Cricetulus griseus: one gene and its partners. The protein of the gene in region 3 purifies or fractionates together with the protein of the main gene of each other region. This does not show direct contact. Links are inferred from orthologs where the notes say so. Each region holds a gene or a part of one and is shown on either strand. Other genes may lie near its edges. The genes, in order: Asf1b, Nasp and Hat1.

Region 1 (3,832 bases), on a different chromosome or scaffold from region 3:
ACACATAAAATATGTTTTAAGCTGGGAGTGGTGGGGCAACGCCTTTAAACCTAGCACTTGGGAGGCAATGACAGGCAGATGTCTGTAAGTTTGAGGTCAGCCTGGTCTACAGAGTTCCAGGACAGCCAGAGCTGTTATACAGAGAAACCCTGTCTCAAAAAACAAAAAAGAATCACTTAATGTTTAGGCCAGGTAGTGGTGGCACATGTCTTTAACCCCAGCACTTGGGAAGCAGGGGTAGGCGGATCTCTCAGTTTAAGGCCAACCTGGTCTACAGAGCAAGTTCAAGGCAGCCAAGGCTACACAGAAGTCTTGTTTCAGAAAAAAAGGAGGAGGAGGAGGAGGAGGAGGGAGGAAGGAGGAGGGAGGAGGAGAAAGAAGAAGGAAGAAGAAAGAAGAAAGAAGAAGAAGAAAACAAACAAACAAACAAACAAAAAAACAGGCCGGGTGTTGATGGCACATGTCTTTAATCCCAGCACTCGGGAGGCAGAGGCAGGTGGATCTCTGTGAGTTTGAGGCCAGCCTGTTCTACATAGTGAGTTCTAGGCATGCCAGGTGGGGGGTAAAAAAAAAACCAGAACTGAACAATCTAGATGAAGTGCTTTTATTTTTAAACCAACCAAAACTTTTAATATAAAAGCATTTTCATATACACACTGCACTCACAATAGCATCCATGTAGCAGCAGCAAGGGGACCCAGGGCTTAGGGTAAGGGTAGATGGAGTGGGAGTTTCTCAGGTCAGCCTGCCAAATGCCTCCTTATCCTGGAGTATTGGGTAGCTCATGAGAATATGTCATCAAAGCAAACCCTGATAACTCCATGAAGCAGGACCTCCAACATGCCTCCTACCCAAGGCAATCCTCTTAGAAAGCTAGGCTCAGTCACAATGAGAAGGTGGCTGTAACCAAAGTACCCACCATACCTTCATGGCCTGGGGAGCTTACCTTTGGGGATTTTTCTAGCAGTGGTTAGACTTAAATGACCTAGACACCCTGGAAGGACACTGGTGGTACCAAGTCTGCCTTCTAACCAGTATTCCTTGCCTGAGACACCAAGAACTGGAGTGAGAAGGAGTGACAACCTTTGGCCAAAGGCTAGCCAAGCGTTGCCCAAACAAGCTTCAAGGAAGGTGATATTCAAAGAGCTTCTCAAAGGCACTGATAGTATAGAAGAAAAAATGACACAAAGAATGAGCATATGAGTACCTGCTTCTTAGAGGCTGATGGGTCAGAAGTGAGAGGATTCTTCTGGACCTGAGCTGAGAGGTTGGGGTCCATATTTTCCTTGGGGCTGACAGGTCTGGAGGCAGCTAGAGGCCCTCAAATCCTTGAGATGACCAAGCATGAGGGCCTGTAGGTCCCCTCTAGGTGTGCAAGGAGACTGGCCATGGTCCTACTGGGACCAGCCTGGCCCCCATCAGATGCAGTCCATGGAGTTCTCCGGGAGGAGGCCTGAGATGCAGCTAGGGAGGCCCAGGCTTTTGATGGGAGTGCAACTGAGGGGAAGGCCATAGTCCGGGTTGGGGTCCTGGTTCTCTGTGGCTTCCAGCCTGTCTGAGTTGTTGTCCCAGTTGATATGGAATCGGGTCACCCGGGGCTTAGAAGCCAAGATGTTCCGCTGTAGCTGGAGCAAGAAGAGTGTCAGTGCCTATCACCTAAGGGCCAGGATGCCCTCCTACCTCCACTTTGAGCCCAAAAGATGCTTGTACACTATGGAGTAGGAACAGGGCCTTCCTCATCCTGGTTTTGCTTGGGTTTGTTCATTTGTTTTTTGGGGGGTTGTTTTGAGAGTCTCAACTATGTAGGCCAGGTTAGTCTGGAACTCACAGAGATCTGCCTGACCCTGTCTCCCAAGTGCTGAGGTTAAAAGTATGCACTACCATGCCTAGCATGATTTTTAAAAAAGTTTTATATATATGGGTGTCTGGCTACACATATATCTGTGCACCACGTGTGTGCCTGGTGTGTGTGTGTCTGGCCTTTGGTGGCCAGAAGAGGGCACAGAGTAACAGCTTGTGGGTGCTGGGAATTGAACCTGGTTCTGAAGAACAGCAAGTTTCTTAACTGCTGAGTCCTCTCTCCAGCCTACTTAATTAAAAAAAAAACAAACAAACAAAAAAAAAACTTTATTTTTATTATATAAATGTTTTGCCTACACATGTCTATTTGTTACATTTGTGCCTAATCCCCATGGAGGTTAGAAGAGGGCATAGATCCCCTGAAACTGGAATTAAAGGTGGCTGTGAGCCACCATGTGGTTGCTAGGAATCAAACCCAGGTCCTTTGCAAGAGCAGCCAATGCTCTTACTGCTAAGCTATCTCCAGTGGCCCTCCAGCACCCCCCCACCTCCACCTCCCCACCTGAAAACAGGGTCTTACTATGTAGCCTAGGTTGGTCTGGAACTCATTATGCAGAGAAGGCTGGCCTCCTAACTTATGATACTTGCAGCTCAGCCTTCTGAGGACCGGGATGCTGGGATCACAGTGTGCTACATTCCCCCTAGCTCTAGCCCTGATCCTGTCAGGCATGCCTCAAGAAGAAAAGACTTGCTTCATCCTAGCTCTACCTCAAAGACAGCATGACCTGTTAACCTTCACTGACCTGGGCACCCATCTCCCTTAGCAGTAAAGGAACTGGCCTGTCTGAAGCAGGAAGTACAGAGACAGACCTCACCTGAGAGAAGTCTGGCTTTGGGGGTGGGTTCTCCCGAAGCTCTGGATTTGGGTACTCATTGTTGACATAGTAGCCCACACGGATGAACTCTTGTCCATGGTAAGTGCAGGTGATGAGAACCACAGTGACACCCACGGCGTCGGTCTCAGGAATGAGGGATGGATTGGGGGCATCAGCCTGGGGAGACACATCCTGGGCTTTAGCACTGCCACTCATGACTCAAAGACTACCAAAGAACTGGACTAAAAAAACTGACCAAACAGGTAGCTACAAAGAGATGGTGAATTTGACTCGGCAACATGATTGCTCAGTATGCAGAGTCCTACCTTCTGTCCTTAGTCTTAGTAACAACAATAGTAAATTCAGCCAGGCAGTGGTGACACATGCCTTTAATCCCAGCCCTTGGGAGGCAGAGGCAGGCAGATCTCTGAGTTCGAGCCAACTTAGTTTACAGAACAAGTGCCAGGACAGGCTCTAAAACTTCACAGAGAAACCCTGTCTCGGAAAAAATAAGTAAGTAAATTCAAAACTTCGGAATGTGACTAGGAGACAAGGGTGTTTAGGCAGAATGTGGTGCAAAAAGGAACTGACAAGAGATGAAGTTGGTCAGGTGGATATGAGGCAGCCCCAGGCCTGCTGGGGAAATTCAGGGCTTGGGAAAGAGCAGTGTTTAGAAGAGGTAAGGTCTGAAAAGAGTGCAGGTATGTGGAGGTCTAGCTGCAGAAGGTTGAGCAGAAGCAGGGAAGCCAGTCAGGAGTCATCCTGGACAGGATGACTAATCCCAGCAACAGAGAACAGAATCACAGATCAGGGTGTGTGGCTCTGGATGGAGCAACTATGTTATATGAAACCAATGCAAATGAAAACACCTACACTTAGCCAAATCCATGACACAGAGCAGAGCATCCCCAGTGGGGATGTTCAATGGCCAGGCTATGTGCCCTGGAAGAGGCCTTGGCTCAACAGGCAGGAGTGTTAGGGGAGCAGGTAGCTTGGAATAGGGGAAACAGTAGGAGGGAGGTAATGGATCATGATTTCCTTAGCACTTGCCAATGAGCCTAGACACTGGACTGGACATAGCAGCACCATTTGGAAGTCACAGCCCATCTTCATATTCACTGAGTTTACAAATCCACCAATTAGATACATCTAGAAAC
Region 2 (4,185 bases), on a different chromosome or scaffold from region 3:
CAACTTACTTTACTGAAGCATTCTGTCTTTACTTTTCTCAAAAACTCATTATACAATTTCCTGACAGACAAGATTTTTCATGGAAATTGAAGAAATGAAAACTCAAAATAATAATTTGACAATCTCTCCATTCTAAACTTGACTTTTCTGACGTGTAGAAAAATTTAAGACTTCACACTATAGTCATGTGAGTCAATAAGAATTTACTTAATGAGACTGAAGATGGATAGATGAGCAGTTAAGAGCCCTCGTTATATGCCTGTCGGTAGTGGTGCAAGTCTTTAATCCCAGCATGGGGAAGGCAAAGACAGATGAATCTCTGAGACCAGCCTGGTATGTACAACTTTATGCATGCCAGAAAAGGGCATCAAATCCCACTATGGCTGTGAGCCACCATGTGGTTGTTTGGAATTGAACTCAGGTCCTCTGGAAGAGTAGCCAGTGGTCTTAACTGCTAAGCCATCTCTCCAATCCCATAACATTTTTTTAATTGACTCAAAATAATAATAATAATAATAAAAACTATAGACAAAAAACAAAGCCGGTCTGTGGTGGTACAGGCCTTCCTTTAATCCCAGCACTTGGGAGGCAGAGGCTGGCAGATCTCAGAGTTCGAGGCCAAACTGGCAGAGGCAGGTGGATCTCAGTGAGTTTGAGGTCAGCCTGATCTACAAAGAGAATTCCAGGAGAGCTAGGACTGTTACACAGAGAAACCCTGTCTTGAAATAAATAAATTCTACAGATTTTCCTAACTCAAGCTACTCTGGCCCTAAGAAATCAATGAGGAGGCAGGAAATTGGTGATTTGAGAAACACTGCTTTTCAAGAATCCACTAGAAAAGGAACCAAAAGGTGACAGGTAAAGTATGCAAAGATACGTTAATATCTGGTACAACTGTACTAATTGAAAAGTCAACTAGTATGCCTAAACCTACAGCAAAAAAAAAAAAAAAAAAAAAACACTCAAAAACCCCACAGCCAACTTTACTTTTACCAGAGGAAAAACTTCTAAAATGTACAGGGACGGAAAAAAATATTAGCAGGCACAGGAAGATTTGGTGGACTTTGCAGAGCCCCCCGTTGAGGGCCCTACCCTGCCTGGGGAGTGGTGGGTGGATGGAGTGGGGGTAGGCTGGGGGTGGGGGAGGAGGGATGGGGTGAGGGGAGGGAGAGGGAGAGAGAGAAGGGATTTACATGTGAACAAGCTTGTTCCCTAACTAGAACTAATAAATAAATTAAAAAAAAAATATTAGCAGGCACCTAAAAGACAAGGGAAGATTGGAAAGTAGGACCTACTGTACGGAAAACTTGTTTCCTCCAAATGATGGGCCGTTTCTGTGCACTATCCAAAAAAGTAGCTCATGTTTGATTAGCACTGTGAAGCTCTCAAAGCAATTATTCCCTCTTGGGGGGGGGGGGGTCCTTTTATCTTAGCAGACTCATCTAGCAAGTACGGAATTCTCCGTGTAGCGTTTACCGAAGAAGCCATCAGTGTGAAAATGACCCCTGGAGCAACCAAATCTCCGACCCACACACGGAAAGTCTAAGGACACCCTGAGGGTTCTCAGCAAAAGCGGAGAGTCGCAGGGCTTCGGTCGCGTAACGACCCCGCGGGTTACAGTCAACTACACAGTCAACGAGATAAACTTCACTGCGCCCAGCGGCTGCCGCAGGAGCCGCTCCAAACCCCAAACAATGGAGTTTTCCCGCCTCCTCGAGGCCCCGCCCCCGTCTCCAGAGCCGGGACACGGAACGCACGCGTGCAAAGTCCCGCCCTCCTCGAGGCCCCGCCCACTCGGGTCCCTCAGGTCTGAGCCTCAATCCTCGTGTGTAGGTTTTTTTTTTTTTTTTTTTCTTTTGGCGCCAAATCTGTTGGTCGTTTTCTAGATTCCTCTACAGACTCTCCCGCTAGTGCGCCGAGAGTAAGAGCTCAAGAGGGGACCGGCGACGGGGGGGCCCCGCCTCCCCACCGGCGGCAGCCCCGGGCCGGGGGAGGAAGAAAAAGGGCAGGCGATGGAGACAGCCGCCGCTGCCCCCGGCAAGATGGCGGCCGCGGAAAGCCGGGCAGGGGGCGCCAGCCGCCCGCCGTTAGCGCCGGTCGCCAGCGCCGCCTGAGGGGGGGGCTTCTCCACAGCCCCGCTCCCTCCGGACAGCCGCAGTTCTCCAGGGAAAGGCAGCTGTCCCACCCCCCCGCCGGGCCCGCCGCCCGCCCGCCCTCCGGCCCGCGAAGCCAGTCCACAGCTCTCCCCACGGACTGGCCAGCGCCTCCCGCTCGCCACAGTCCGGCTTACTTGTCAGCGGAAGCCAGCTCTCCGGCGACGGCAGTAGTGGCTGTAGACTCTGTGGCCATCGTTCCCCTGACGCGGTGGGCCGGTGGGCAGAGCACTGCCTGTGGAGAGAACAGAGAATTCAGGACAGCAAAGACTTACTCAGGCACAGAAAATGGCAGATTGGAGACCCCGCGCGGTTGGGGCCCTCTTATATATCGGGGCCGCTTGCCCCGCCCATCCACTTCCGGATCCTCCCCCTTGGGTTTAAAGGGCCAGAACTCAACACCTCTCCGTCACAAGGACACCTCCCCGCAGCCCTTCCCGTTTGGGTATCTTCCCGCCCGGGCCCGCTTTTCCTTGGAAAGAAAAGAAAATCGAACAACAAAAGAACTTCCTGCTCCCGGTAGCTGGCCGTGTTAGAAGCACCAGAATCTTGGCACTACAACTTCTGATGGAGCCAGCCAGAGCCTCCACGTTAAGTGGAGCCAGTGAGTCTCTGCGGGCGTGGAAAGAGTAGCCGAGGGTTTCTTTCTGGCGGGGATACCCGAGAAGGTGACAGGTCTTCTGTATGCCCTCTCAGTCTTAACGGATGGAAACGCAAGAGCCGAGCACGAGTACAACAGCAACGGCTAGAACTGACCCGAGAGACTCGTGGCTCTGGGCCTCAGCAACTACTGACGAAAGAAGGTGCTGCTCTACGATTGGCTACAGATGAAACTATCGCGCTAGATTCAAAACTCAGAGGGGCAAAGGAGTAGGGATGTTTCCTCCTCTCTCTAGATCCACGCGCCTTTGGCTGGCCCAATCCAGTGACGCCCTCATCTGACACCCTACCCACATTCCAACACTGAGTTGTTGAGCTGAATCCCTGTACTTAAAACACTTTAAATTTTTTAGCTATCTTACTTCTATCTTTAGTACATATGAAAGGGACTCACACTATGTCCCTGGCTGGCCTCTAACTCACAGAGATTCGCCTCCCAAGTGCTGAAATTACAAGTGAGCTCCACCATACCCATCTTATTTTACAACTGTCAGTAACTCCGCTTCCAGGGTATCCAGTGTCGTCCTCTAACCTCCAGAAGCCCTAGGCACACACATGGTTCACGTATATGCATGCAAGTAAGCACTCACACATATAAAATAAAGTGGAATCTTTTAAAAATAACTTTTTTGGTGGGGCGTGGTGGCCTACGCTTTTAATCCCAGCACTCAGGAGACAGAGGCAGGTGGATCTCCCTGAGTTCAAGGCCAGCCTGATCTACCAAGCTAGACTCCGGACAACCAGAGTACACCGAGAAACCTTTTTTGTTTTTGTTTTTGAGGCAGGGTTTCTCTGTGGCTTTGGAGGCTGTCCTGGAACTAGCTCTTTTAGATCAAGCTGGCCTGTAACTCATAGAGATCTGCCTGCTTCTGCCTACCGAGTGCTGGGACTAAAGGCATGCACCACCACCACCCTGCAAGAAACCATTTCTTGAAAAACAAAACTAAATAATAATAATAAAAATAACTTGTTTAAAAGGTCAGGTGTGGTCACAAACACCTTTAGTCTCAACACTCTAGAGACATTCGGGATCTCTGAGTTCCAGGCAGTCTGATTTATATAGTGAATTCCAGGACAACCAAGAAACATAATGAGATCCTGTCTCAAATATTTTTAATTTTTAAAATTATGTACAGGAAGCCAGGCGTTGATGGCTCACAAAGATCTGCCTACCTATGCCTCCCAAGTGCTGAGATTAAAGATGTGCACCACCACTGACCAGCTTTTTAAATTTTTTTTAATGTTAAACAAGATAAGATATTTAAATCAGGAACCCTTATTGTTGTTTTGTTTCTTGAGACAGGGTTTCTCTGTGTAGACCTAGCTGTCCTAGAACTTGCTCTGTAGACCAGGCTGGCCTCAAATTCAGAGA
Region 3 (3,646 bases):
TAATTACTCAATAAATACAGGTTTGATATAGTAAATAGATATATATTATTTCTAAGTATATATTCCTTATTTTAAATAGGAAGCCACTAATGGGCAGAAGATAGCGAGTTTCAGTTCACATTGTATTGCTGAAAGTAATCAGCAGATTTTTGGCTGTGGTTCTGAAAACCATACTCTAGATTTGATGGTTTAGATGAAATCTCCCAAGAAGAATGAGGGAAAAATGAGTATGAAGAAGAGTTACATTTAAGAAGCATCTGAGGGTTGGAGAGATGGCTCAGAGGTTAAGAGCACCAACTGCTCTTCCAGGAGTCCTGAGTTCAATTCCCAGCAACCACATGGTGGCTTACAACCATCTGTTATGAGATCTGGTGCCCTCTTCTGGTGTGCAGATATACATGGAAGCAAAATGTTGTATACATAATAAATTAAAAAATCCTAAAAAAAAAAAAAAAAAAAAAAAAGCACCTGAAAGAATAAAAACTAGCTGGGCAGTGATGGGGCATACCTCACAGCACTTGGGAGGCAGAGGCAGGCAGATCTCTGTGAGTTAGAGACTAGCCTGGTTTACAAGAGCTAGTTCCAGGACAGGCTCCAAAACTACACAGGGAAACCCTGTCTTGAAAAAAACAAAACAAACAAACAAAAAGAATAGAAACTAGCAGAAGTGTTACAATTAGGGTTAAAATGTGCACGGATTACAGGAACCATGAAGCTCTCAAAGCCAAGGTGGCCAGCAGTATCAAATGGCTTCCTTAACACTGAACCCATGTATTTCATACTCCAACCCCTACCCATTCTTTAGTTTTTACAAAAGGCTATTCTGCCAAGACAAATTAGAAAAAGAAGTGCAAGAGTTGAATGCATCAAGAAGGAAATTTCACCAGGCAGTGGTGGTGCACACCTTTAATCCCAGCACTTGGAAGGCAGAGTCATGTGGATCTCTGTGAGTTGAAGCCAGACTGGTCTACAGACTGAATCCCAGGACAACCAGGGCTGTTACACAGAAACCCTGTCTTGAAACCCCACCACAAATGGAAATTCTATTAACTTTATTAGTTACAATGTGAATTTTCACACTAAAACTCATTTGAATGTGAAAAAAAGCACTGCCTTCCCCATGAAGTGCCCTGAATCTCTTTCATAAATATGTACTAACATATATAACTTCTTTGACATCCCATGTTTTTCCTATCCCTATATTTACTACTTTAAAATTTAAACAAATATATAGCATAAAAAAATGGGAGCTAGCAAGATGGCTCAGTGGGTAAAGATATATGCAGCCAACCCTGATTACCTGAGTTTAATCCCTGGAGCCAACAAGGTAGAAGGAGAAAATCAATTCTAGGGAGTTGACCACTGACCTTCACACTTGCACAAAAGAAAGTGTATTGCCCCCCCAACATTAAAAAAAAATATAGAAAATGAAAATTACACATTTTCTTACTACTTTTCTACCAATACATCTCCAGGGATAGAATCACTTCACAGTTTAGTGTTTTAGGGCTGGAGAGACAGCTTAGAAGAGCACTGGCTGCTCTTCTAGAAGACCTGGTTCCATTCTCAGTACCTACATGGTGGTTCACAACTGTCAGTTTCAAGGGATCAGATACCTTTTAATTTCCTTGGTTACCAGGCACACATATAGCATAGACATACATGTAGGCAAAACAACATACACATAAAATCTTGCACCCAAAAACTTAAATTAAAAAAGATTTTACTGAATTTTCATATGGGGATGGTGGTGGTACAAGACTTGTACCAAGGGCCATGTTAGAACTCCGAGGACAACTTTCTGGAGTTGCCTTTCCACTTTCACCATGTGGATCCTGGGGACTAAATTCAAGTCATTAGGCTTGGTAGCAAACTCCCTTACCCACTAAGCCATTCCGCCAGTACAGTTTATCCTTTTACTCATCTTTGCTCTGATTATTATACTTAGTACAACAAAAAAAAATATTCTCTTCTCATTTATCAATAAGGAAAGTGAATACTTAGTAGTACAGTGTAACGTATTCCCTCATCACTCTGTCAATTAGGAAAGTGAGGTACAAACCATAAACTAAACTGCTTTAGGAGACAGAGCCAAGTTCTAGATGTAGGCTGGAACCTGGACATATGACTTCAGAACCTACAGTCTAACCACTGTTGCTTCCCACACATCTTAATGTCCTTACAATAGTTTAGTCAAGTACTTAAAATTATTTTTTAGATGTTTATCGCCTACAAGCTAAAAATCAAAAAATACCTTATTTATTTTGAACTTCTGTTGTGCTTGTATTGCCATATCTTCATTGAATCCTTGCATTAATCTTTCCCGGGAGAAACAGGGCAAATCTTGACAAAGCTTCACAAGCACAAAGTCTCTTAGTTTTACATAGCTTTTGGATGGATCTTCAGCTAAAAAAAAAAGAAAAGAAAAATATGTCACTGCCCTTACCCAACACAGTTCCACCACCATTTATAATCTCAGTAATATGGTAACATTCTGAAAAGAAAATTATATACCCAAAAGTCACAATATTAAGATAATTTCTGATAACTATTGTATTAAGTAAAATGGCAGGTATGCTTTACAAAGACATTTATACTATTTATGAAATGAGAGCTGCTCATTTTACACATCCATTGTTTGACTGGAATGTTACCACATGCATCTTCATTTTAACTGCAGTCAAATTAGCCATATAAATAAAATATTCAGGTTTGGACAATAATTTCAAATGCATTCATTTTTTTGGTAGCTAAGGATTCCAAGGTCAACCATCAGTTTATTTTTTTTAAGGCACTGGGCCTAGTGGCCCATGTCTTCATGTATGTATGTATGTATTTATTTATTTATTTTTATTTTATGTGAATTGGTGTTCTGCCTGCATGTATGTCTGTGTGAGGGTATCAGATCTTGGATTTATGGACAGTTGTAAGCTGTCATGTGGATGCTGGGAATTGAACCCGGGTCCTCTGGAAGAGCAGTGGGTGCTCTTAATCACTGAGCCATTTCTCCAGCCCAGCTATCACTTTCTTTTAAAAGAATTTTTGTAAAAAAAATAAATAAATAAAAGGAAAAAATAAAAAAATAAAAGAATTTTTGTTGTTTTTTTGAGACAAGGTTTGTCTGTAGCTTTGGAGCCTGTCCTGGAACTCACTCTGTAGACCAGGCTAGCATCGAACTCAGAGATCCGCCTGCCTCTGCCTCCCAAGTGCTGGGATTAAAGGTGTGCGACACCACTGCCTGGCTTAAAAGACTTTTTAATTCATTGCTTTAGAATTTCATACAGCATATAATGTGTTTTAATCAAGCCCCCTTTTTATTCTCTACTCCAAGTCTTCCCATATTCCCCAAATGTAGCAACTGTACATTCCAACAGCAACATTCCCCAACAGCTTTTTTTTAAAAAAATATTTTATTTATTTATTATGTATATAACATTCTGCTTCCATGCATATCTGCACACCAGAAGAGGGCACCAGATCTCATAACAGATAGTTGTGAGCCACCATGTTTTTGCTGGGAATTGAACACAAGACCCCTGGAAGAGCAGTTGGTGCTCTTAACCTCTGAGCCATCTCTCCAACCCAATCCAACAGCTTTTACTACCCTCCAATAATAATTCTTGAAGAATATGGTAAGGACACAATT

Evidence for each region.
Region 1: the proteins of Hat1 (region 3) and Asf1b purify together in Homo sapiens (affinity purification with mass spectrometry; 6 studies listed by BioGRID and IntAct, counting the BioPlex papers as one, with this or other methods). This does not show direct contact. The link is inferred for Cricetulus griseus from reciprocal best matches to the Homo sapiens genes HAT1 and ASF1B.
Region 2: the proteins of Hat1 (region 3) and Nasp purify together in Homo sapiens (affinity purification with mass spectrometry; 3 studies listed by BioGRID and IntAct, with this or other methods). This does not show direct contact. The link is inferred for Cricetulus griseus from reciprocal best matches to the Homo sapiens genes HAT1 and NASP.

What each region holds. Positions count from the first base shown.
Region 1 is NC_048596.1:160,448,180-160,452,011, forward strand, and holds the end of Asf1b (histone chaperone ASF1B), read right to left. Parts: intron 2,853-3,832; coding exon 2,676-2,852; intron 1,626-2,675; coding exon 1,419-1,625; 3' UTR 589-1,418; downstream 1-588. UniProt on the Homo sapiens protein: Histone chaperone that facilitates histone deposition and histone exchange and removal during nucleosome assembly and disassembly. Cooperates with chromatin assembly factor 1 (CAF-1) to promote replication-dependent chromatin assembly.
Region 2 is NC_048595.1:35,763,527-35,767,711, reverse strand, and holds the start of Nasp (nuclear autoantigenic sperm protein), read right to left. Parts: upstream 2,937-4,185; 5' UTR 2,814-2,936; intron 2,463-2,813; exon of another isoform or gene 2,389-2,462; 5' UTR 2,350-2,388; coding exon 2,291-2,349; intron 1-2,290. UniProt on the Homo sapiens protein: Component of the histone chaperone network. Binds and stabilizes histone H3-H4 not bound to chromatin to maintain a soluble reservoir and modulate degradation by chaperone-mediated autophagy.
Region 3 is NC_048599.1:103,763,180-103,766,825, forward strand, and holds part of Hat1 (histone acetyltransferase type B catalytic subunit), read right to left. Parts: intron 2,407-3,646; coding exon 2,255-2,406; intron 1-2,254. UniProt on the Homo sapiens protein: Histone acetyltransferase that plays a role in different biological processes including cell cycle progression, glucose metabolism, histone production or DNA damage repair. Coordinates histone production and acetylation via H4 promoter binding.